2 linked regions of the Oryzias latipes genome follow. The protein of the gene in region 1 purifies or fractionates together with the protein of each later gene. This does not show direct contact. Links are inferred from orthologs where the notes say so. Each region holds a gene or a part of one and is shown on either strand. Other genes may lie near its edges.

What was found.
Region 2: the proteins of nuak2 (region 1) and ppp1r12a purify together in Homo sapiens (affinity purification with mass spectrometry; 3 studies listed by BioGRID and IntAct, counting the BioPlex papers as one, with this or other methods). This does not show direct contact. The link is inferred for Oryzias latipes from reciprocal best matches to the Homo sapiens genes NUAK2 and PPP1R12A.

What each region holds. Positions count from the first base shown.
Region 1 is NC_019863.2:2,245,327-2,256,388, reverse strand, and holds the start of nuak2 (NUAK family SNF1-like kinase 2), read right to left. Parts: upstream 7,200-11,062; 5' UTR 7,000-7,199; coding exon 6,805-6,999; intron 2,702-6,804; coding exon 2,581-2,701; intron 2,213-2,580; coding exon 2,061-2,212; intron 1,281-2,060; coding exon 1,215-1,280; intron 1,071-1,214; coding exon 818-1,070; intron 728-817; coding exon 1-727. UniProt on the Homo sapiens protein: Stress-activated kinase involved in tolerance to glucose starvation. Induces cell-cell detachment by increasing F-actin conversion to G-actin. Expression is induced by CD95 or TNF-alpha, via NF-kappa-B.
Region 2 is NC_019881.2:19,248,779-19,259,728, reverse strand, and holds the start of ppp1r12a (protein phosphatase 1 regulatory subunit 12A), read right to left. Parts: upstream 6,710-10,950; 5' UTR 6,599-6,709; coding exon 6,362-6,598; intron 1-6,361. UniProt on the Homo sapiens protein: Key regulator of protein phosphatase 1C (PPP1C). Mediates binding to myosin. As part of the PPP1C complex, involved in dephosphorylation of PLK1. Capable of inhibiting HIF1AN-dependent suppression of HIF1A activity.

The DNA.
Region 1 (11,062 bases):
CCTCGTCGGGGTAAAGAGGCCGCCAATTGATCTAGAGAGCCAAACTCTTGGAAGCCACCAGAAGAGAACTTCCCATTACGCTTCAGGATGCCCTTTCTGTGAGTTGGTGCGGAAGGACACTGTTTAGTTTGTAGTAACACGCCAGAATCACTGCTTTCAGGAGAAGAGGAGTAGTACCCCGACTCCTGCTCTGCGGACTTCTTTAGGATGCCTTTACGGGGCAACAATGCTGTTGAAGGGCCGTGACCCTGAGCAGAGGCACCCGAAGTGCTCTGAGGTTCCACTGAAGCAGCGGTGCTTTCACTCCCTGCCTTCTGTTTGATGCTGTTTCGTCTCTTTAGGATGCCCTTGTAGGGCCTGGAGTCTGTGTTTCCATCGTGCACCGTCTGGGAGACGTTATTCTCCTTACGAGACCTTCGCAGGGATCTCTGTCGGACCACATCCCCGCCGCCAGCCTGCGAGCGGAGCAGACAGCGCATTTTGGAACCATTCTCCAGTAAAGGTCGAGAAGTGCGTCGCAGCCACGTAGCAACACTAGTCAGGCCTGTGGAATGTGTTGTTGGTGGAGGTGGCGGCGTGACGCTCTGATCAACCACACCGTTCTTTGTTTCACACAGTAATGGCTGCTGGTAGCCCCAGTTGAGCCACCAATGCCCAGCAATTTCTTCTATTGTGGCTCTGCGCTCAGGGTTCACCATTAACATCCAACGGATGAGTCCGCAGGCATCTGACGGAACAGACAGCAGAAAACCGGGTTAATGTTGTGTTTAACTTTGGCCGTGCGTGCAAGTTGTACGTTTCCAACCCTAAAACTCACCAGAGGGGTTGTTAGGTTTGCGATAGTTTCCAGTGCTGATCTGCTGGACCAGAGTTTTGTGGTTGTTTCCATCAAAAGGCATATTTCCATGAACCAATGTGTACAGAAGCACGCCGAGCGACCAGGTGTCCACCTCTGGGCCGCGGTATGGCCGTCCGTTGACGATCTCTGGGGAGGCATACAGAGGGCTCCCGCAAAACGTCTGTAGAAACTCGTCGCCGTAGAAGAGGTTTGACAGGCCGAAGTCTGCAATCTGCTCAAGACAAGGGAGCAAACGTTTCCAACATGTCACTCTCAGACAGAAAAGACTATTTCACTTTTTCAATCATTAAAACGTAGTTTTTGTTTTGTTTCCCACAGAGGATGCTCTATAAAAACAGAAAATCATTGTGCTTACCTTTACATTTCCCCTGTCGTCTAGCAAAATATTCTCCAGTTTCAGATCTCTGTGCACTATTCCATTCTAGAAAGAAAAAATAAGGAGATTGGCCTTAAGTTGCATACATTTCCCTCTCCTGGAGCTCTAAACGTTGGTTTCAGGAAGCTACCAGACAGGATTAGTTTTTAACAGAGCGAGGGCACATTCTTTGCAAATGTCAACGTCAGTTATGCTTCATTGTCCTCTGCGCTGCAGGGGGGCATTTCTTGGCCTCAAACGAGTTTGCAATGACTTTTCTCAAGAATTAAAGTCGGCCGTGTCTTAAAAAAAAAATTCTTGTTGGTTTTGCTCTTTTGGTCAGGAGTTGGAATCGAAAAGAAAGCAGAGTAGAAAAGCGATAAAATGAGGTGAACAAATGAACAAAACACCAGAAAAGACTTTAGCCATCCATAAAAGTGAAACACCACAGATGGTAGATGCACAGGGCCATTCACTCAGCAAATATGCTCGAGCAAACAGTTGGAATGCTGCAAAAAGTGCTGAACAGCCATGCTGCAGCTTAGGTCTGAAGAACAACTGGCTGTTGTGTGTTTGTGTGTCCTGTGGGGAGGGGGGGTCTGTTCCTTCACACCCTCATTAAACTGTGAGACCATGCGTGCGCCGAGTCCGGTTGGCCTTTCGCTCCTCCTGCAGCCCCCCATAGACGGTTGGTTACAAGCTCCGCCCCTCATGGCAGCAGCATGGCGGGCCCTGTATGCACGCCCGTGTGCGTGTATGTATGTGCATGTGAGGTGCCTGTGTGCGTGTATGTATGTGCATGTGGGGGCGGTGCGTCCAGATGCCAACCAGGAACCCCCTCCTCACCTGATGGCAGTAGTGAACAGCGGAAACGATCTGCCTGAAGAAATGCCGGGCCTCTCGTTCAGAGAGTCTCCTCTTTTCACAAATGTAGTCGTACAGATCTCCTCGGCTGGCGTACTCCATCACAATCACTATTTTGTCTTTGTTTTCAAACACTGAAAGGAAAAAAAAGCAGAGAAAACGTCCATTTGAGTGTTTGTTCCACAAACCTTCTAAGCAAATCTCACAACACGGCTGGCTGATAATCGTGTAGCTGTGATGCAGAAGCACCGATAATGGCCTTCTCATCAAGCGTGAGAGCCGCTGCTGGCGGACATGAAGCCACGCATTATCTCCCAGCGCTCAGCGGCGTGTCTGCGCTTACGTAACCAAGCACCATCTTCAGCACAAAGAGCTGCGTGACCACACTCAGGCCGTGACAGGAAGATGGTTTTCCTTTAGCGGGCATCAGGTTCCGGCGCGCAACGCAGGATGTGACGCCCAGCCATGAAACCATGAGACCCGAGCGTTCCTGAACACGCACCTTCATATATGCTGATGATGTGCGGGTGACACATGGAGGACATGATCTCAATTTCTCTGCGGATGTGGACCAGATCCTGCTCATCTTTGATCTTTTCCTTCCTGATGGATTTCACAGCAACCTTCAAAAGACGAGAGAGACACAAAGGAAATTCAATTTATAAACATAATTGACTTCTTTGGGATTCATTATGGAAAATGCACAACAGAAAGAATTCTTAAAAACCAAATATGATCATCTTTTGATTTATTGTCAAAGTGTTCCCAGTGCTCTTTTATTTATGATTATGCTGGTTTTAGCCTCCTGGGACATAGTTTCTGCAGAGCGGCAGGAGTTCATTCGAAATTCGCCTCTGAATTGTGGGTGGGACATTTGGTGGGGAGTAAGTCTGACCTTCTTTCCCATCATCCCTTTGCTTACACTCTCTCCTGCTAGCTTACAGCCCCCCCCCCCCCCCCCCCCCAAACCTAGCATTAGCAGTGCAACAAAAATGGCAGCCATAGCAGAGCCATCCAGCCGTCCAGATTCCAGCTCAGACGAGGAAAACAAAGACGTTCATGGATCTGTTTGTCTGACAGTGAAGGCATCAGAATGGAGCTCCAGGCCTGCCCATCGTATTTTCTGTCACAAATCCAATCGTTTTCAAACAGCCTTTTTTTTGTCTGCTCCTCAATTCACAACGAATTGAATGAAGAAATACTCAGAAATGCAACTTTGATCTTAATTTTCTTTATACATTTCCTCCACCATGAGAAAAATGCCCCAAAATCATTTTAAAAACACAATTTTCTTTGGACTGGGTCTTTAATTCAATTCAATTTGATTTATTTAGCCCAAAATCACAGCAACTGCTGTCTCAATGGGCTTCCTACCGGTAAACCAAATCTCTAAACCACTGAAGTCTGATATCAGCCATGTTTATGCTGCAGATGAGGTGCGTTTCAACAAAAGTCAGAAAACTGGACATTTATTTTGGTGAAGAAAAACAAACACATGCTAATTTAAGCCTGTGTGTTCAGCTCAACAGGCTGTAAACATCTACAAATAAGCCCCCATGGAACAAAAAGGCCCGTCTTTCTAAACGCTGACCAACTGTGAAGGGCGCTGGAGCGAAAACTGCTTTTCTGTTTCCAACATGGCAGCGGGGACTCCAGGTCGAGCTATGCCAGCTTCAAAATACAAAAAAAACCCTCTATTGTCTGCCACAGACTCTTCAAGGCCCACAGAGGAACACGTCAACCTAGATAACGGCCGCTTGCTCTACATTCACCAAGGCTTGTGTTTTTAAGCCGTGGGTGTCTATCTGGACCTTGGATGCCTGGGATTCCTCTGTGCGCCGAGTGCGTCATCAGTCTCCCCCGAGACGGAGGGAGTCATGAGGCGGCAGATGGCCCGGCCTGTGAGCCGTCCTCCTTTCCTGGTGTGTCTGAGGCCCTCACGGCTTTGGACACAGACGGGGACATGAGTGAAGCCGTATCATTTTTGTCTTCTGCAGTGAGTCAACGCCTGACGTGTATCCTCCTCCGGGGTCAGTGCCGTGGTCACACCGTACAGACCCACTTCCTGGTTCTGGGAGGCGAGGTTTCCTGCGTTTGTTGCCAGACAGGTTCAGGTCAGGTCTCAGTCAGGGGGATTTCACACCCGTGTGGGATTCCCTGAGTGCAAGTGCTCTTCGTATCCTACGGTCGACAGACGTAATCGCCACCCAGAGGGTAAAATGTTAGTATTTCACACTGACTTTCTATGCAAATATTTGGGGTTCATGGATTTTCTTGATAAATAACCCTGTTCCTATGGTCAAACACTACAGACCGGCTAAATCCTGCTGAGCCTACTTTTCCTCTGTGTGGTTGAACGCAGACAGCAGAACATGAAGATACCCACAAGAAATGTCCGTGACAAAAGATGTTTTCTGTATTTAGGATTAAAAAACTATACATTTACTTTTAGCTTTTCCCAAAATAGTAAATATACTAACACTGGCCTGTATGAGAAGAGCAGATTTAGTTAAAAACATTTTAAAAAGAATACAAATCCATGACTCATACGAGGTTTTTCTTATCCAAAAATGTCCTGACGATAAGAGCCCATTCACACCAGCTTTCACCGCCAATGAGCTTTCGTAAGTCACTATTTTTTCCTCAAGTCCAGACGCTGTTTACAGATAAGAGTTTCCGATTCTAAGGAGTCCATAAACACTGACACACTTTAGACCAAAACAGAAACCAAACCTGTGACAGTGAAGCTCTGTGTGCAACGTGTAACACATTAGTCAAGGCTGTTCATCACTTTCTTTAGACATCTATGCTGAATAGGTGAAAAAAACAACAACATTGGATTTGTTAAGATGCAGGTTTTTGTGATTGATTTCTCTCCCCTAAATGGTCATCGCCGCAGGATTTTTCCCAAACTTAGCACAAGTTAAGAAGTTCCCCACCAACACGGCTGTGTAGGAGGGGTGTCAGATCACCGAAGAGTACGTGGCCCAGAAGGGTCACAACACAAAATAACACACTACACAACACAAAACTGACGCAGAATCACAGCCATGGCGCTGAGCCCCTCCCACCACGCTGATGCAGACAAAGGAGCACACACCTGCGTCCTTCTCTGCACCTGTGCATGGACGTCTGCGGCGTTTCTGTGTGTCGTTGAGAGCCGCTGGGACAACAGGGCGTTCACAGAGGCAGTCTCAGACTCTAAGTCATGTCTTGTTAAAGCAGTGCTCATGGGTGACGGAGAAAAGGCAGAGCATGACCCAACCTGTAGGCCTGCATGCCTCATGCAGCTCCGCGGGGGGAATTCCCAGCTCCAACAGCCACTTTCCCTCCTTTCTGTTCCAGACAACACTTTCAATCAACGAACTTCCTTTAAATGGCGACTGTTGGGTCTTAGATTTTGATGTAAATTGTTGATATTGTCGGGAAAAAATAAAGTAACTTTACTTGGAAGTGTTAAAAGTGTTGTTCTGCAACACATTCAAAGTTTGTCCCGGTTTGACTATAATCAACTTCTATGAAGTCTCTTCCTGAAGATTTCAGGTTTAAAAGTGAAAGATTTCAGGGGTTTTTTCTAAAGGCTATTTAGTTTCTATCAAGGCCATCTCTCTCCGGTCTGTTTTATATACTTTCCATTTTCTCTTGGGTCACGTGGAACAGGATTTTACCCGACAGGTTCGTTTCCGGGACGCCGAGAGCAAAAACTACCCAACTTCCCTGATTCATTGCATGCTTTTTCCAACTGCATTTTTTCATCTGCTCCTGATTCACAACGATTTGAATAAAGAAATACTCGGAGATGCAATTTTGACCTTCATTTCCTTTACATACGTCCTCCAACGTGATAAAAGAACATGTTAAAAAACACTTTTTTTATTGGAGTGTATCTTTAATATACAGACAACTTTTCTCCATAACATTTTATTTTATAAATGCATCGTCAATAGTTTTGGGGAAGACAGCTAATGTTGGTGTTGCTCATAATTTCCTGTTATACAAAATTAGGAAAGAAGCAAATACTTCTTGGAATAATCTCATAATAATGGAATAATGGGTATTACTACTTAATACATTTTAAATCACAAAAACATTTTTTTAATCAAACTACTTGTTAATTTATTTCATAAGCAGATTTATGAATACATTTTACTGCACTTAAATTTATGAAAGATAAAAATGCAAGAAGAATACCTTCTACTCCTAGTTTTTGTTTTATTTAAGGTTGTCATTTTTTTTTGTCTTTTCTTGGTTGATTTTGATGTTTAAGACTGTTGCTGTGAAATTGTATAAATCAGGGGTTCAAATAAAAATAAATCCCTTTTCCCTCTGCGCATGTGCACACCAAATTAAAGTTGTTGATGCAAAACTTCCTGTTTGACCCGAGACGAGATGCTTATCTCCAAATGTTTGTGCAACTTCATGACGTTTTCCGTAAAGTGATGCTAAATTCGGCCCAATCTCGGTCAGATCTGAAACCGCCGCTTTTTCTGGACTGCAGACAGGCGAAAAGGTTCAAGAAAAAGAGCGAGAAATCCGGGCAAAAAGACGTTCATTGAACTCAGCACGCATTTTATTGGGTCTATTTGTCAGACAAACCTTTAATTCGTTTGTTCAAACTGTGATGTGGCAGATTGTGTGTCTTCTAAAAATAGCCCGGTGTCTTTAACGACAGGTGGCCGTTACCGGACGGTGACCCGGTGCTGCACACCGGTGATCGAGTCCTTACCAGGCGTCCCGATCTCTCCTTGGCTTTCTTGACTTTTCCGTAGGTTCCTTTGCCCAGCGTCTCCAGAAACTCGTACCGGTGCTTCAGGTTATGTTTGTGGTGGTGTCTCTTCACGGCTTGTTTCTTCCCCGGGGACGGTGGGACTGTCCCGGCAGACGCCGGAGACCGGCCGGCGGCGGAGATCGGCTCGTCCATGCTGAGGCTCTCCGCTCTTCACGACGGGACGCACGTGCTCTCAAAGAGCATTCCTCCGCGAGCTCTTCCGCTAACTCCTCTAAAACCTGCGAGACGGGTCAACGGAACCGAACATAAAGTTCCAAAGCGGGCCGCTCCGTCGAAACGTGTCAGCTGTTGCGGCGCCGCAGACTGAAGCGCCCGATCAGCAGGTAGCCTGCTTGAGGGCGAAGCTCCGCCCCCGACCGGCTACGTCACAGGGACCTCCTCAGCTGGCGGAAGGATATGTCATTCCAAGAAAAGAAGCGGCCTCACTTTTCGAATTTGCAACTCGAGATTCTCTTTTTGAATCTTTGTTGTGTTAGACTATTTTTTTATTTCCTATTGCCGTCGCAGACACACAAACGCTCACACACACACGTGTGCTTTTAAAGTCAAATTACACAATGTAATCCCATTTAGAGCAGTGGCGCCACCACGTGGCTAATTTGTGTCACACCATTGAACAAGAACTGGAAAAGCAGTCTGAGTGAATTCTACTCTACTGTAATGTCTGTCATTTACAGTCTTTTCTTTTTTTATTCCTATTTTTTTTAACACACTCATTTGACTGTTAGCAAGGAAATAAATAAATAACAACAAATTAACACAAGCTGCACTTAAAATACAGCAATGAAATGCAATTTACACATAAAGTATCGACACAATACTGTCCCATCAATATTTATATCAAAACATTTCAATGAGAGAAAAAAACGGTGAAGACCACAATTTAATTATGATTTTTTTCATAGCTGAGCTGCATGGTGGTGTAGTGGTTAGCACGCTTGCCTCACAGCAAATGGCCCTCGTTCAAATCCCGGGTGGAATCTCCTTGTGCATGTGGGAGTTTTCTCCAGTTCCACCCCCACAGTTCAAAAACATGCTTCGTGGGTTAATGGATGACTCTAAATAGAACCTAGATGTGAATGTTGTGACAAACAGGCTACCTGTCCAGGATGTACCCCAACTTCTGCCAAAAAGCAGAACCAAACTCATCCGCTGTAACCCGTTTGGGTCAAAGAGAACCAGATTGGCAGGAAATTTGCAATGTCCAACATTTGCTTTTTGTCAACAATAATTGAGCCCGGTCCAAGCTTAGCACTTTCTCAAGTCATGTATGTCTCCGTTCTTCCCATCTCTGATATCTTTCACTCCATTTTTGTTTTTTACTCACTTTTCTGAAGCAAGTGTTGAGCAGAAAATGCATCCAAATGTTTTCCCCTGTCCAAAGATGGTTTATCAGGGAATATCTGTCATGGTTTGAGTTTGTTGTGTCGTGTTTTTTCCTTTTAGTTCTTGTTCTGTCTTGTTTGGTTCTGTTTCCTGTTTTATTTTGAAAGGTTTCCTGTCTTGTTACTTGTGCTTTACTTCCTTTGGTCCCCATCTGCCCTGATCGTGTTCACCTGTCTTGTCTCTGCCTTCCTCTTGTGCTGGTCCATTAACTTCTGGTCGTGTGTTTAACGTCTTCATGTGTCTTCGTCCGTTCATGCCATGTTTCATGCCACGCCACTGGGTTTTTGTTTTGTCATCCTGCTCTGCAGCGCCTTTTGTTTGATTGTTTATTAAACCCCCTGGCCTTGGAACTGTTTGCCTCCCGCCTCTGCTTCTGGGTCCAAGCGGCTCTCGAGCCTCCCCCCTCACATGACAATATCTGCATTTACCAACGTGAACGACATTTTTATTTAAAGTATCACACAACAAAAACCTTCTTAGTTCTGGTTTATAATTTAATATGAGTTGTTTAAAAAAGGGAAAAACTTTATAAGTCTTTATAAGTGTATAGACAGCAGATTTTGATGCTATGGATCAATAAAATCACTGGAGGCCTTTCAGATGAGTGTAGATAAAAAAAAAAATACAACCAATTGTCAAATGGTAATGTTAAAAGGGAAAAATGAAATATTACTCAATATTCTTATAAAGTAAGAGTAGACATCTTCAATAATGTTTTGTGTTACGAGTAATATTCCTTTACAGTAAATCTATAAGTTTATAAATGTTACTTTCTCACATTTTCTCTACTTGACTAAAATTCAAAAAGGATGACAGGAAAAATAATCCAAAAACAGAAATCCTCTGGTTAGCTTCCTCAGACCCACCTAAAAACATCCAACTCTGACATGAGGGAGCAAAGAGCATCACAAACCCAAAGTGGGGCTGCAAGCTGCCTGTTTCATTTGCTGGATTCATCCGGATCAGCTTCTTCACACGTTGTCTCTTTAACCCCTAACCTCTCAGGGGCCCGCCTGTCAGTTTGGCAGGGAGAAGCGTCAGAGGCCCTTCACTCATGCAGGCAGAGCAACACAACGGCAAAGAGCAAACTGAACTCAGGAACCAAGTCAGTTCTGTTCAATTCTGGGAATAAAATAGTGTCCGTTGATTCATGACCTACCAAACAAAATTGAAAACCAGATGATCAGACAATTGTGACAGAAAGCTCACACGTCTGCACATGTCTTCATTTTCATTCAACTCTTTTTTTTAAATTTAAATATAGATAATAGATGAATGACAGACACCACTCTGTTCCCTAAAGGCGGATGAAGCTCATTCAAATGGTCGAATGTTTATGTAATCCCTTAAAACGCCACAAGAGGGAGCCCATCAATTTTCCAGCTGAACGTTTTCTGGAGCTGCTTCCTTATGGAGTGATATTTATGCCACCATGTTGCACACAAAACGTTCTCAGTTGCAAATGAAAGTATTAAATATCTGCTTTCAAAAAAATTTACTTTTTGCTTTCAATTTTTTGTCGGCTTTCAGGTTTTTTTTTATTTCAAGAAATCTATCTTTTAACCTTTTTTTGCTTTCAAATTTTTTTTTGCTCTCAATTTTTTTTTTCAAACAATACTTTTCTGTTTGCAAAACAGTTTTTTTGCATGCATTTTGTCTTATATTTTGCTTATTTGGTTCATTTTACTGTGTCAAAGCTGCCATCAAACGCAAGGAAATTTTTCAAAAAAGAAAATTAAATTTGAAAGCTAAAAAAAAAGTGTAAAAAAGTTTTTTAAAGCAAACAAAAAATAAATTTGAAAGCAAACAAAATGTGAAAGCAGATATTAAATATTTTCATTTGCAACTTAGAAAGTTTTGTGTCAACGTGTTGGCATAGATATCACTGCCTACATTCTGTCATGACACAAAGAAAATGCTTTCAGGACCATGTTTGGTAAATTAAATGCTTTCCTTAGTAATTGTCTGCTAAACCTGATATTGAATAAAGTTTAAAGGACAGTAAAACTTAGTTCAATAAGAATAAGCAAAAAAAGAAAAAGTAAAGGAACCTTTTACAGGCGTTGAATATAAACTTGATATTGTGCATTTGCCATTTTAGACCACATACAGCAGATGTATTAGTGTGGGCAGGCAAAGTATTCTTCAGAAAAATAATTGGGGAGTAAAAATAAAAAAGTCTAACATAGTTTTTTGTTAGAAGTGCATGGGATCCTAAAAATTAGACAGCAATCTAACATGATTATCAAAGGTCCGACTTTGGACGTGTTTCATGAACTTTAGAATTCTGATCAACAAAAACATCTGTCAGTTTACATGTTTGAGTCCATTATCAGTTTATTTAAAGTTTACAAACACATAGAGTCTAATGAACAAAAAAATTAGTAAGAATACTAATGAGCAAACGAATGAATGAATAAATGAATGAATGAATAAATGAATGACTGAATAAACAAATGAATGAATAAATGAACGAATGAATAAATGAATGAATGAAAAAATGAATGAATGAATGAATGAATCAATGAATTAATGAATAAACAAAGGAATCAATGAATGAATGAATAAAATGAACGAATGAATAAATGAATGAATGAATGAAAAAATGAATGAATGAATGAATGAATGAATGAATAAATGAATGAATAAATGAATGAATGAATGAATGAATAAATGAATGAATAAATGAATGAATGAATAAATGAACGAACGAATGAATGAATGAATGAATAAATGAAAGAATGAATAAATGAATGAATAAATGAATGAAGGAATAAATGAATGAATGAATAAATAAAATTAATAAACG
Region 2 (10,950 bases), on another chromosome or scaffold:
CGTCTGCATCTACAGTATAAATGCGTTAGTAACACCAGGAAAAAGGACAATGGATGCTTTTATGATCAGGTCATTGTCGCATCTGATTAAATTCATACATTTGCCATTTGCGTCTGCTTCTGCTAAAGAAGACCACTCCGTTTATTTGTGCCTCATTCAAATCACAGGATAAGTAATATGTAGTATTAAAAATGGAAAGTAATGATTAGCGATCAAACATCACACATACTAAGCTATAAAATGCTTGGACACAAAAACAAAGGGAGATATGGACGTGGATGGGTAGACTTGAGAGGACAAAGGGGGTAAACTCCTCCAGTCAGACGAGAACAATAAAATCTAGACACCGTCGGTTCCAGACAATGAATTATTTAGCTACATTCAAATATATTCAACATTACATTAGACATTTATGAGCAGCTGGCAAGTTTTATGCATGCATCCACCCAAAAACTTCAACCATTTCTGCCAGGGGGACCCCAGGGGGCTCCCACGCCAGCTGAGAGATATGGTTCCTTCAATGCCATCCAGAGACTGCTCCTAGGTCTCCTCCTAGTTGGACATGCCCCAAATGCCTCCCAATAGAGATATTCAAGAGGCATCCCAAAGAGATCCCCCAAGCCATGTCGACTGGTTCTTCTTCCAGGAGGTCCCAGGACTTCCCCTCCGGGTCTCCTAGTCAGACATGCCCAGAATGCCTCCCCAGGGAGGTATTCAGGAGGCAGCCCAAAGAGATTCCCAAGCCACCTCAACCAACTCTTCTTCCAGACTGTCTGGGGACTTTCTAGGATCTCCTCCTAATGGGACAAGCCCCGAATACCTCTCTAGGGAGTCATTTAGGAGGCATCCCATAGAGATGGCCAAGCTTCCTCAACAGGTTTCTCTAAATGTGAACAAGCTCAACTCCGAGCTCCTCCTTGGTGACTGGGGTGAGGGAAATCGAGAGCTTTGCCTTTTGCCTCAGCTCCTTCACTCCAACAGATCATGAGCAGGAGATAGCTGCTCATGTAAAATGGGACTTCACCAATCACAGTTAAAGTGGTGCCTAATGCTTAAAAAGGCTTTTTTTTTTTAAATCACGACAGTACAAAAAAATGTTGTGAACATTTCACTCTAAACCTTCTTAAAGTCTCTCCTTGGTTCTTTTATGGTTACCGGATGAACAAAATAATTTTGTTTTTTCACAGGGTTCACTCTTTGAGATTTTAATGCTGCTCAAATGCATCAGATCAATTATAAATTACTTAAGCTGAACCGGAAAGCCAACTTGTTCACAGGTTTACTATCATTTCTGAATTCTCTTTTTCTCAACACCACACCAGGAATTCCATTACCTTTTTCCCCCTATTGTAAATGGCATTAAATTTGGATTTATGTGAAATTAATAATGTTTCACATGTATCGAAAATGTTATACGTCACATTTACTTGGTCATTAGCATTACAAAAAGGAAAAAAAAGACTGTACTTCAAATCACTAAAGAACAGTGATAGAAATAGCAGCTGCCTCAAAAAAGTTGGGAGTTTTAGAGTAAAATTTAAGAAAGGTTTGTTAGGAGTACAGGGACAAAAATAAACAAAAGATTTTTCCAAATCCGTTTCCAGGAGCCAATTCTTTCTGTTCATCGTCACATAGCTGTGATGTGTTTAAACCAGAACAGAAAGAGTATCATAAGGGGATCAAGCACACACAATATTAAAGTAAAACCACTACAATATTTTTAAAAAGTGTTAAATAATGCTACAAACTTACAAAACTTTACCTTAAATGTGTTGACTCTAAATTTTATTACGTAGATCATTTGTAAATTGAACAGAAGGTTCTACTAAGTGACTACAGTTCACTTTCATGAGCCCATTTATAAATGTATATCCCTCTAGACATTAAATGATAGATTTAGGCATCGCATTTTGTCTCAATCCCCAAGAAAAGAGGGAAAACTATATGAATTCAATTTTATGCTTTCATATTAATATTTTATGCATAAAAATGAATAATTCGAAGTGTCATTCTTGCAGTGACTTCCCTTTTGGACTTCCTAAGCAGAACACTGACCTGAACGCCTGATAAATCAGAAGATCTGCAGAACAAATGAGAAAAGAAAAAAAGCATTGAACTGCACGGTCAAGATGATGCAATAGTATTAGTTATGGCAGTCTAAGCTAATTTGACTATCCATGTGGGACTGTAAGGTTTCGTTTCCTATCTGGAGCAGTCAGGCAGCTCTGGGGGCTTATAAGTGGATGTCATGCAGGCTTTATCAGGAGGAAAAGGACACGTCAAAGTTGTTGTTTCTCTGCTCCTCTCATGGTCAAAACAAACCTCAGAGGCTGCGAGGAGACCTACGGCAATTACGTAACGTGTTGATATGACCTGGATCAAAAGAAATGCAGCCAATCTGGACATCTTCCGCCGCGTGCCCTGCGATTTGTTCCATTACAGATTTGCTGAGGCCGACTCTCATTTCAGCCAAACACTCACCACTCGCAGTCCGTTATGCAACTCCCACAATGTCCATGCAAATCCTCCAATACAAGCAACTACCAACCCTTTCAACCGTTGCCATGGAGACTGTGCAAGATAATGTTTGAGGACCTCAAGGCTACAGTAACAGTACAATGTCAACAGGGAACAGAAATATATTTTTCACACTAAGCGAGCCGTGTCATCAGAATCTGAATCACTGGTGGAGTTTATGACACCAGCAGAACCGTTCTGGTGCTGGTTAGTCTGAGGATTTTCCAAAGTGAGACTCAAGGTTTTCTAGCGCCGTTCCACCGATGATGCTGGACCTTGGCATTGTAAACGGATAGAAAGCCAAAAGCCTGCGTGGAAGGGAGGGCTTTAGGTGACAGCTGAGGAATGTCTCCTCTGTTCTCTCCTTGCTATGGTTTCCAGTGACAGTCATGAGAAGAATGCCTTAGCTTCCAGCTCAAACTTCTGGAAAATGTTTGTGCACATGGCATGATGCTCAACTCTTCATCTCTACTAATGCAAAAAGCTTCTACAGTTTCCTCCTATGTCGCTAATGATTTTTTCACAACAATGTTACAGTTTAGTAATGACATTCTTTGACTCGGTTATCTCTATCAAATTATCTTCATTATTAGCTCTTAAATGACCATAATGTCACCTTTTCTTTGCTAGTCAGAGTATTTCAGTTCACTTGTGCAGGAAATGTTGATCATTTCTTTACTGAAAATGGACAAATTTAAAGCAAAAATGTCCGATCTCCATTCATCTTTTTTTCCATCCACACCAATGAGGGGATATTCCCCTTTGAAACGATATAAACCAGACGTTTGACATTTTTTGGTTGATTGAATCTGAAACTAACTAAGGTCTTGAAAGCACACTCAGTAACACCGACCTACTCTTTGAACAAAAAAATATGTTTCCTTTGAAAACTGGGGAAAATACTGTTAAAATAATTTATTAACAAGTATAGAATAAAGAGGAATCTGGACTTTTAGGCCAGTATGACCACAAGATCTCAAGTCTTAAGCATCCTTTTGTTAGTGTGCAGCTTGGGTTTGGCCTCTACCGTTGGGTTTTAAGGACCCATTCTGATTAAAATTTTGTTTTTGGTGTTTATTTTTTAACATGTTCTTGTAGAATTTTTTTCGCATAATAGGACACATATTTAAAAAAAAAAAAAAAAAAAACAAGTCTAAAGTTGCATTCTTGTGTTTGTCTTTAATCAAATCTTTTTTAATTGGTAGCAGACAAAAACATTTCATTGAAAAATAAAAAAAATGAGATAATTTTTGAACATCGAAAATCCACTACAAGCTCCCGGCTCTGCAACATTCTGATGCACCTACTTGCAGACAAATAGATCCACGTCCGTCTTTGTTTTACTCGTCTGAGCAGGAACATGGCTCTAAACTGTACAGCTAGATAGCTTGCTTGCCATTTTTCTGGTACCGGTAATGTTAGATTGACGGTGTTAGGGGTTGTAACCTAGCAGGAGAGTGCATAAACAGAGAGCTCTCAGCAACGGTCAACAACAAATCGCAGAGGCCAATTTCTAATGAACTACTGCCGCTCTGTAGAAATTACGTCCTAGAGAACGACAGGATTTTGGCTAAATATAACTGAAAACCCAGTGGGAATGTTTTTAGAATAGATTAAAAGAGGATCGGAATGGGTCTTTAGGCAAGTATGCCCAAGATCTCAGATGCACAGCATCCTTTTTGTTAGTGTTCAGCCTGGGAACGGCTCAAACCGTTGGCTTTTAACGCCAGGGCAGCAGCTTGGAAGCATGTTTACAGGCCTTTCAGCAACACAACATTTTTTAAGTTTGGATTTGTCTGCGATTTACAAACAAAGTCAACCTCTGGCCTGAATGATATCAGAGCTTCAGCACAAAGCACAGCTTCAGACTGTGAGTCATATCCAAACTTAGTATCATCTCCTGAAACCCAGTTAGGAGAACTTGGGACAGGTTATTTATAACCACGCACCAGTCACTAGCAATGGGAGGGTCACCACTGCACCATGCAGAGAACCATCACGACAGAATAAGACAAAAGCCAGTATCTCATGTCCATTTCTGTAGATTTTAATGGGTATAACGTTAGAAATCATAATGTCTCAGACATCTGTTAACCAACCTGGACTGCAAAAGAACAGATAATCTTTAAATCCCACATTATTATTGCTTAACTGCTCAGAGATCACATGCTGGCATATAACACCCACTTCTCACTGCTAGAAATACACAGATTTAAAGCAGCTTGCCCCCATATTTGCTCTATTGAAGTTATAAACCAATAACTCACTACAGACTTCAAAAAATAAAACAATGTCCACCTAGCAGCATCGATGACATCAGATAGAAAAGGGGACTGGAGGTAAAGCCAGGTTTTGGCAATCTTCTACCATATGGACAATGCTGACAGAAAGAACAGAAAAAGAGCAGCTATCTATGACCAGACATGTGAATGTGAGCAATGTGATGACATGGCTGATGACCAAGCATTAAACAATTAATGTGAGCTCAGACTGTCCCTAATGTTAGAACAAACAAACAAAATGTAGACAGCCAAACTTACGAAAATAAAAGCACACAAACAAAATAACCCCTTTTTCTCTGTTTAAAAAAAAAAAACAGATCATGGAGTGTCGTTATAGTAGATCATGGGCATCTTTACTAAGAAAAAAAAAAGAGTTTATACTTAGCTTATTATGTTATGAGTGGCACAAATAAGCTTAATAGCTGTTCTGAGAACACGCTTTTTTCCTTAGTACAATTAAGTGATGACTGGGTAAAATAAAAAAATAAAAACTATCGTCGGTTAAAAGGTTGAATTTAAATCTGTCATTTGTTTGGGGCTTACCAACACATCGATCCGACCGCTTAAGTCTCTAACAAAGTCTGGTGATCCAGTAAGCACCAAAGCTACGGAGCGAAGCTACGGTAGTTAGCGGGCACATAGCTCAGCTCGGTACGGCTGACTTTCCGGTTTAGCCAACAAACCAAACACCAGTATTTGGTAGTATTTGTTTAAAAAAACAAGTCATTAAAAGTCCTATTTCAGAGAACAAAAAACAATTCGTGTAAATGAATGAATTAAGCGACGATGAAGTCCAACAGCTAACAAGTTATCTTAGCATGCTAGCAGCCTTAAGCTAACCCTAAATACAAGTTTAATAGCATTTTCTTTAGCTCGATTTTGGACTAACCTTTGAGCAAAACTTGACTTTAACTAATTTGGGATTATTTCAAAAGAACAATTTAAGGAAAAAAAGGTTGTCGCGCTGTCCTAAAAGGCTAGCCACATTTGTGATTTGGGGTTATCAACAAAACTACTTTTACTGCTAACCAGGTGAGGTAGTACTAGCAGCCGTCCACTGCCATAAAACCAAGAATCCCAAACAGGGATGCGTCTATCAATGGAAACGTTTGTAACTAAAGTCGATACTTTATGACATAAATTTAATTTATGTTACTTAACTTCACCAGACAAGAAATTAAACACTGACGTTTCATTTAAATGGGCTTTTCATGTAGCAATTTTAACATGATGTACTGTAATTAGACTACACCCAGAGCAGGGAATACACAGACCCGCTTTAGAGGTAAAAGAGGGATTCATTGGAGGGAAACTTGGCCAAAAATCGTCAGGTGTGTTCGCTAAGGTGTGTGAAAGCTGTTTGTGGGGTATCCCCCGCGCAAGCTTCTTGTTCCCTGGTGCGTCGAATCGAAAGGAAGAGGGCTCGGTAGGTAAACAACGGGATGAGAATGGCTTCCACTTGACAGGTGTTCCAGGGAAAGCAGTTGCATGCTGTAAAGCCCTGTTTGAGAGCGGCAGGGGCTGCAGGCTGGTTTTAACGGAGACAGCAGGTGAGCACTGACCTGGTGGAGCGCTGTGAGGCCGTCCACATTGGCATAGTTGATGTCAGCACCCCGGTCCAGCATACGGAGCACCTCCTCTGTATCGCCGCTTGAGCAGGCGGCCAGAAACACGGCGCCATCATCGAACTTCACCTTCGTCTTCTTCTTTTTGAAAACAGGAGGCTCCTGGTCCGTTTCCGAGCCCATCCATCGCTTTAGCTGTTCATTCCTTTTCTGCTTGGCGTCCGCCATCTTCATCCCCCTCCTGTCTCGGGCTTCTTATCTTTCTCCGAGAGAGGATATACTTTATAGTGCCACTATCCCACGGGCGCACTGGGGCGTGGGAAGGGAGGGCTGAGGAGGAGGAGGAACTGAGCGAAAGAAGTCTGAATTGTTTGACAAAATCTCGCGAGAACTAAAATCCAGGCTCTGCAGTATACGTCACCATCAGCAGATATGAGGAAAGTGGAGGAAATGTACGGTAGCCCCTAGGAACAAAATTAGCAATGAAGAATTTTTAAATGCATCACTGCTAAATAAAAATAAAAGAAAAAATTGAAATGTTAGAGACATTAAAACAACAAATGAAATGATCAAACCGCAAAACTTCACAAAAAAAGAATAAAATTTAACCTAAATATTTTTCCCCCAAAAATGAAGGGGGGGGGGGGGGGGAATTTGACTAATTAGCCAACTATAAATGAACAAAATAAAAGCAACATCTTTAAAGCTTACAGGTCTAAGGGTCATTTACCAGGCAGTCTGTTGGGGGTTCAACTCTCAGGTTTCATTAAATAAGTTTCTTGCTTTCTTTTAGTAGCACCTTACTTCTTTCTGAATGGATTTTAAAATATGTTATACCGGGTTTTTATAGTGGTGTATTTTATTATGAAAAGTAACGGCACGTCATAGTCATTGTGTAAAGGTAACCTATACAAAAAGGTGTTTATTGGTAGGCTAAATGCAGCCAAATTCTAAAATGTATGATAATGTTTACAAATAGACTTGAAGAAAAGGTTTTTTATTGAACCGAAAATGTTTTAAACCACAAACCATTGCCTTTTTAGTTTTAAACAAACAAACAAAACAAAACAAAAATATGTATATATACTGTATATATGTATTTTTTTTACCTACATGGGTACCAACACGGAAAAAAATACTTGTTATATTGGCTAAAACACATCGTGATCTGTTTGTTTCATTGTAAAGACTGAGTTGCATATCTCTCCATTAGACATCTTGTTTTTTCGCACTTCTATTATTATCAAAGTCTTTCAAATGGGAGGGGACTTGTTTCCTGTTCTTTTCATTTTAGGAAGCAAAGGGATTTTTTTCCTGCAAACTAAACAAACTTTAACTGTACAGGTATTTCCCCTTTTGATCCCTTTGTTCCATGCATGGGTGCATCCAAAAATCTCTCCTCCATCTTTGTCATATGCAAGGTTATTTTTGAGTCTAAAAGAAAACACGACGCTCAAAGAGTAAAAATAAAACCAGTTTCACCTGCAGTGATTAGATGGATAGCACTTGGTGAGCTTGGAATGTAGACTCAAGCACAAAGGAGGTCCACATCGACCTGTATTAAAAACAGTTTCCCTTTTTATTTTATTTTTTTCCACTAAATTGTTGGCAGGGGAGTGTGCATATTCAGTAGGAAGTGTGCTATTAGTTTGTTGCATGCAAGTCACAGGGATAAAATGTGCATTCAGTGCTGTTTTCTTCAGCACAGAACTGTCATCACACATGAAAACGTGCCCGAAAATTGTAAATGCCTGATGCAACCAACCCACCGACGTCCAGAAAAACGACTCCAGCGAGAATGATTATTCAAAACAAACACTAGAAATAATGGCCATGAGCCAATGTGCAAAAATAAACAGTCTCCCATCAGCAAGCTGTTCTATGTGTCACTGAGGCTTAACTGCAAAGAGCCTATTTACGGTCTGCAGATGTTGTGCACATGAGGCTGAGACACACCGAGGAGCAGCTCAGCTGATGCTCAGTCTTTAGAGGTTGTAGTGGGAAGTTGCTGCGGTTCTTCTGAGTCACGGGGATGTGGAACACCAACGTCAGTGTCAGGAAGCTGCTGGCCTAAAATGCGCTGATGTTAGTAGTGTTTGAGGGGAAAGTGATGAGGAAATCACTGTTTGGCAGAGAAACAGACCTTAATCCATGTGGAGCAAGTCAAACACAGGTGTCACAAAAGCACATGTTTAAAAAACAAAATGATTTGATGCACTAGAAAAACCATTTAAAATGTTGTCTTTTATTTTGTAAATCTCCATAAATCTGCCATCTCCGTGAAACAGAAAGACATGAGCACATTCAACATCCAGACCAATAAAACAAAACAAGATGTGAGATTTGTGACTGTCCATCACAAACAGCCACAATAAAGTGACCAGCTGATCTCTAGTGATGAGAAAATGTTTTTAATTTTTTAACAATCAGCTATGCAGAGATTTGTTTTGTCTCACTTCAACAATGTGGCTTCAGATGAGTATTATCCACAATGTCTCTGCTTTGAATTTATGTGATGTCAATGTGAAGAACGCGTCCAGAACCCGACGTAAAGATGGAAAAGCAGCAGAATATGTAGAAGCTTGAAAGGAATCATAATGAACAACAAAGTAAATGGTTCATTTTATTTGTTAGACTGAAATAAAAGGAAAATGAAATAGTCTGAGGGGGAGGGGGACTCATTAAATCCTCTAGTTTACAGGGACCTTAAAGGTTTGTGGATGTCACTTTCATCTTAAGTGGGAGGTCAAAAAACAGAAAGAAATTGCATCAAGTTGGTTGCATTGCCCCCTCTTGTTGTCCCCTCCTCCTCCCCCTCCTCCTGCTCCCACAGACACACAATGAGGAAAACCACATCCATCTTTTTAGACAGGCAGTGATCACAGCATTGGGAAAAACCAAGAGTTTCACATGGTCATCTAATTGAATCAACTAATTTAGACACAAGTGCATTTACATATTTCAGTGTATCACCTAGAGCCCAATATTCACCTCCACTGATTCAAGGGGTGGGAAATATTAGGGCAGTCATTTATATTTGTTTGTTTGTTTATTTGTTAGTTTGCACTTTGTGTTACATTACAATAAAAGATCTGTACTAATAAAGATTGCTTTGATTACATCACATTAATGAAAAAATACAAGGGAATCTCAAATTTAAAGAAAAAAGGGGCTCAAATGCAAAAAAAAAAAGAAAAAAAGAGAACATACCTACCTCCAAAACAGTGATAAAAGATCAGGAGAGGCTTTAGAAACATTTAGAAACAACACAACACCAAAAAAAAAAAAAAACGTGATTATTATTGTTTTTAGAAATTCACCTCTGAGTTGTGGGTGGGATTGCTGGTGAGGAGCATCCCCGCCCCCCTCCCTGTCTCCATTGCTAAGAGCTTGGAGCAGGAAGCTTGTGGCCCACCCAGAATATTTTCTTCATCACAAATATGATGTTTTTCAAAGTGCATGTTTTTGTCTGCTCCTAATTCACAGGGATTCAAATAAATTAATACTTAGAAATACAGTTTTAAGCTTAATTTTCTTTCTATATGTACTCTATCATCAGACAAATGCTACAGGAACAGAATTCTATTCTTAAAATGACATTCTAAAAACACCATTTTCATTGGAGCGGGTGTTTAGTAACTTGAACTTTTCTTTGGCTTGCTAATCAAACAGCTGAAACTTTTAGTTTTATTCTTGCTAACTCCAGCTGTCTTGGATGCCTCTGGTTTGTGTTGACCACTATGCAGCTCTATTGGTCTCAGTGACATTGGTAACAGCACAGGCTACGCTTAAGCTAATTCTCAACTGCCTGCTGTTCTCACAAAATCTTCTGGCGTTAGGATGACGATCAGGGATCTGCTCACTTCATGGCCTCTTTCGCACACCGCTTCCTTATATCCAGTATTCAAATAATAGAGATTAGTGGTGTGACTCCATATGATTCATTAAACACATCAGGGGGATAGATGGAGGCTTCGTCAGCATCCATCGCCGTGTTTACTTCGTCATGCAGATCCTTGTCTTTCATTAGCCGTCCCTTTGATCTGCTGCTCCCGCTAATTAAAAGAATAACTCTGTGGGAGGAGGGTCTCCAGTGCATCAGCACCTTAAAATCCCACTCACAAACGAGTGGGGCTTCAAAACCATTACTGTGTGGGCGTGTTCACAGCAGTATGACAGCAGTGCCAATGCCCTCAGCAGCTATGACTTATCCCTGAGAAGAGGCCCTTGTTTACCACGTTAACTGTGAATCTCCTCAGGGACTTTTTGGCTGATGATTCCTGACGAAGAGAGTGAGTCTGGAGGGCTGTAAAGACAGCTGCCCATGCATGATTTTTGTTCTCACACCAACTTTAAATAGAATAATCTCCAGGAAATATTCAGTTAATTACATCCATCCATCCATCCTTCCATCCATCTATCCATCTATCCATCTATCCATCCATCCATCCATCCATCCATCCATCCATCCATCCATCCATCCATCCATCCATCCATCCATCCATCCATCCATCCATCCATCCATCCATCCATCTCTGCTTTTACTTTGATGTATTTTGTTCTTTTTACATTTTTCTCCAAACCAG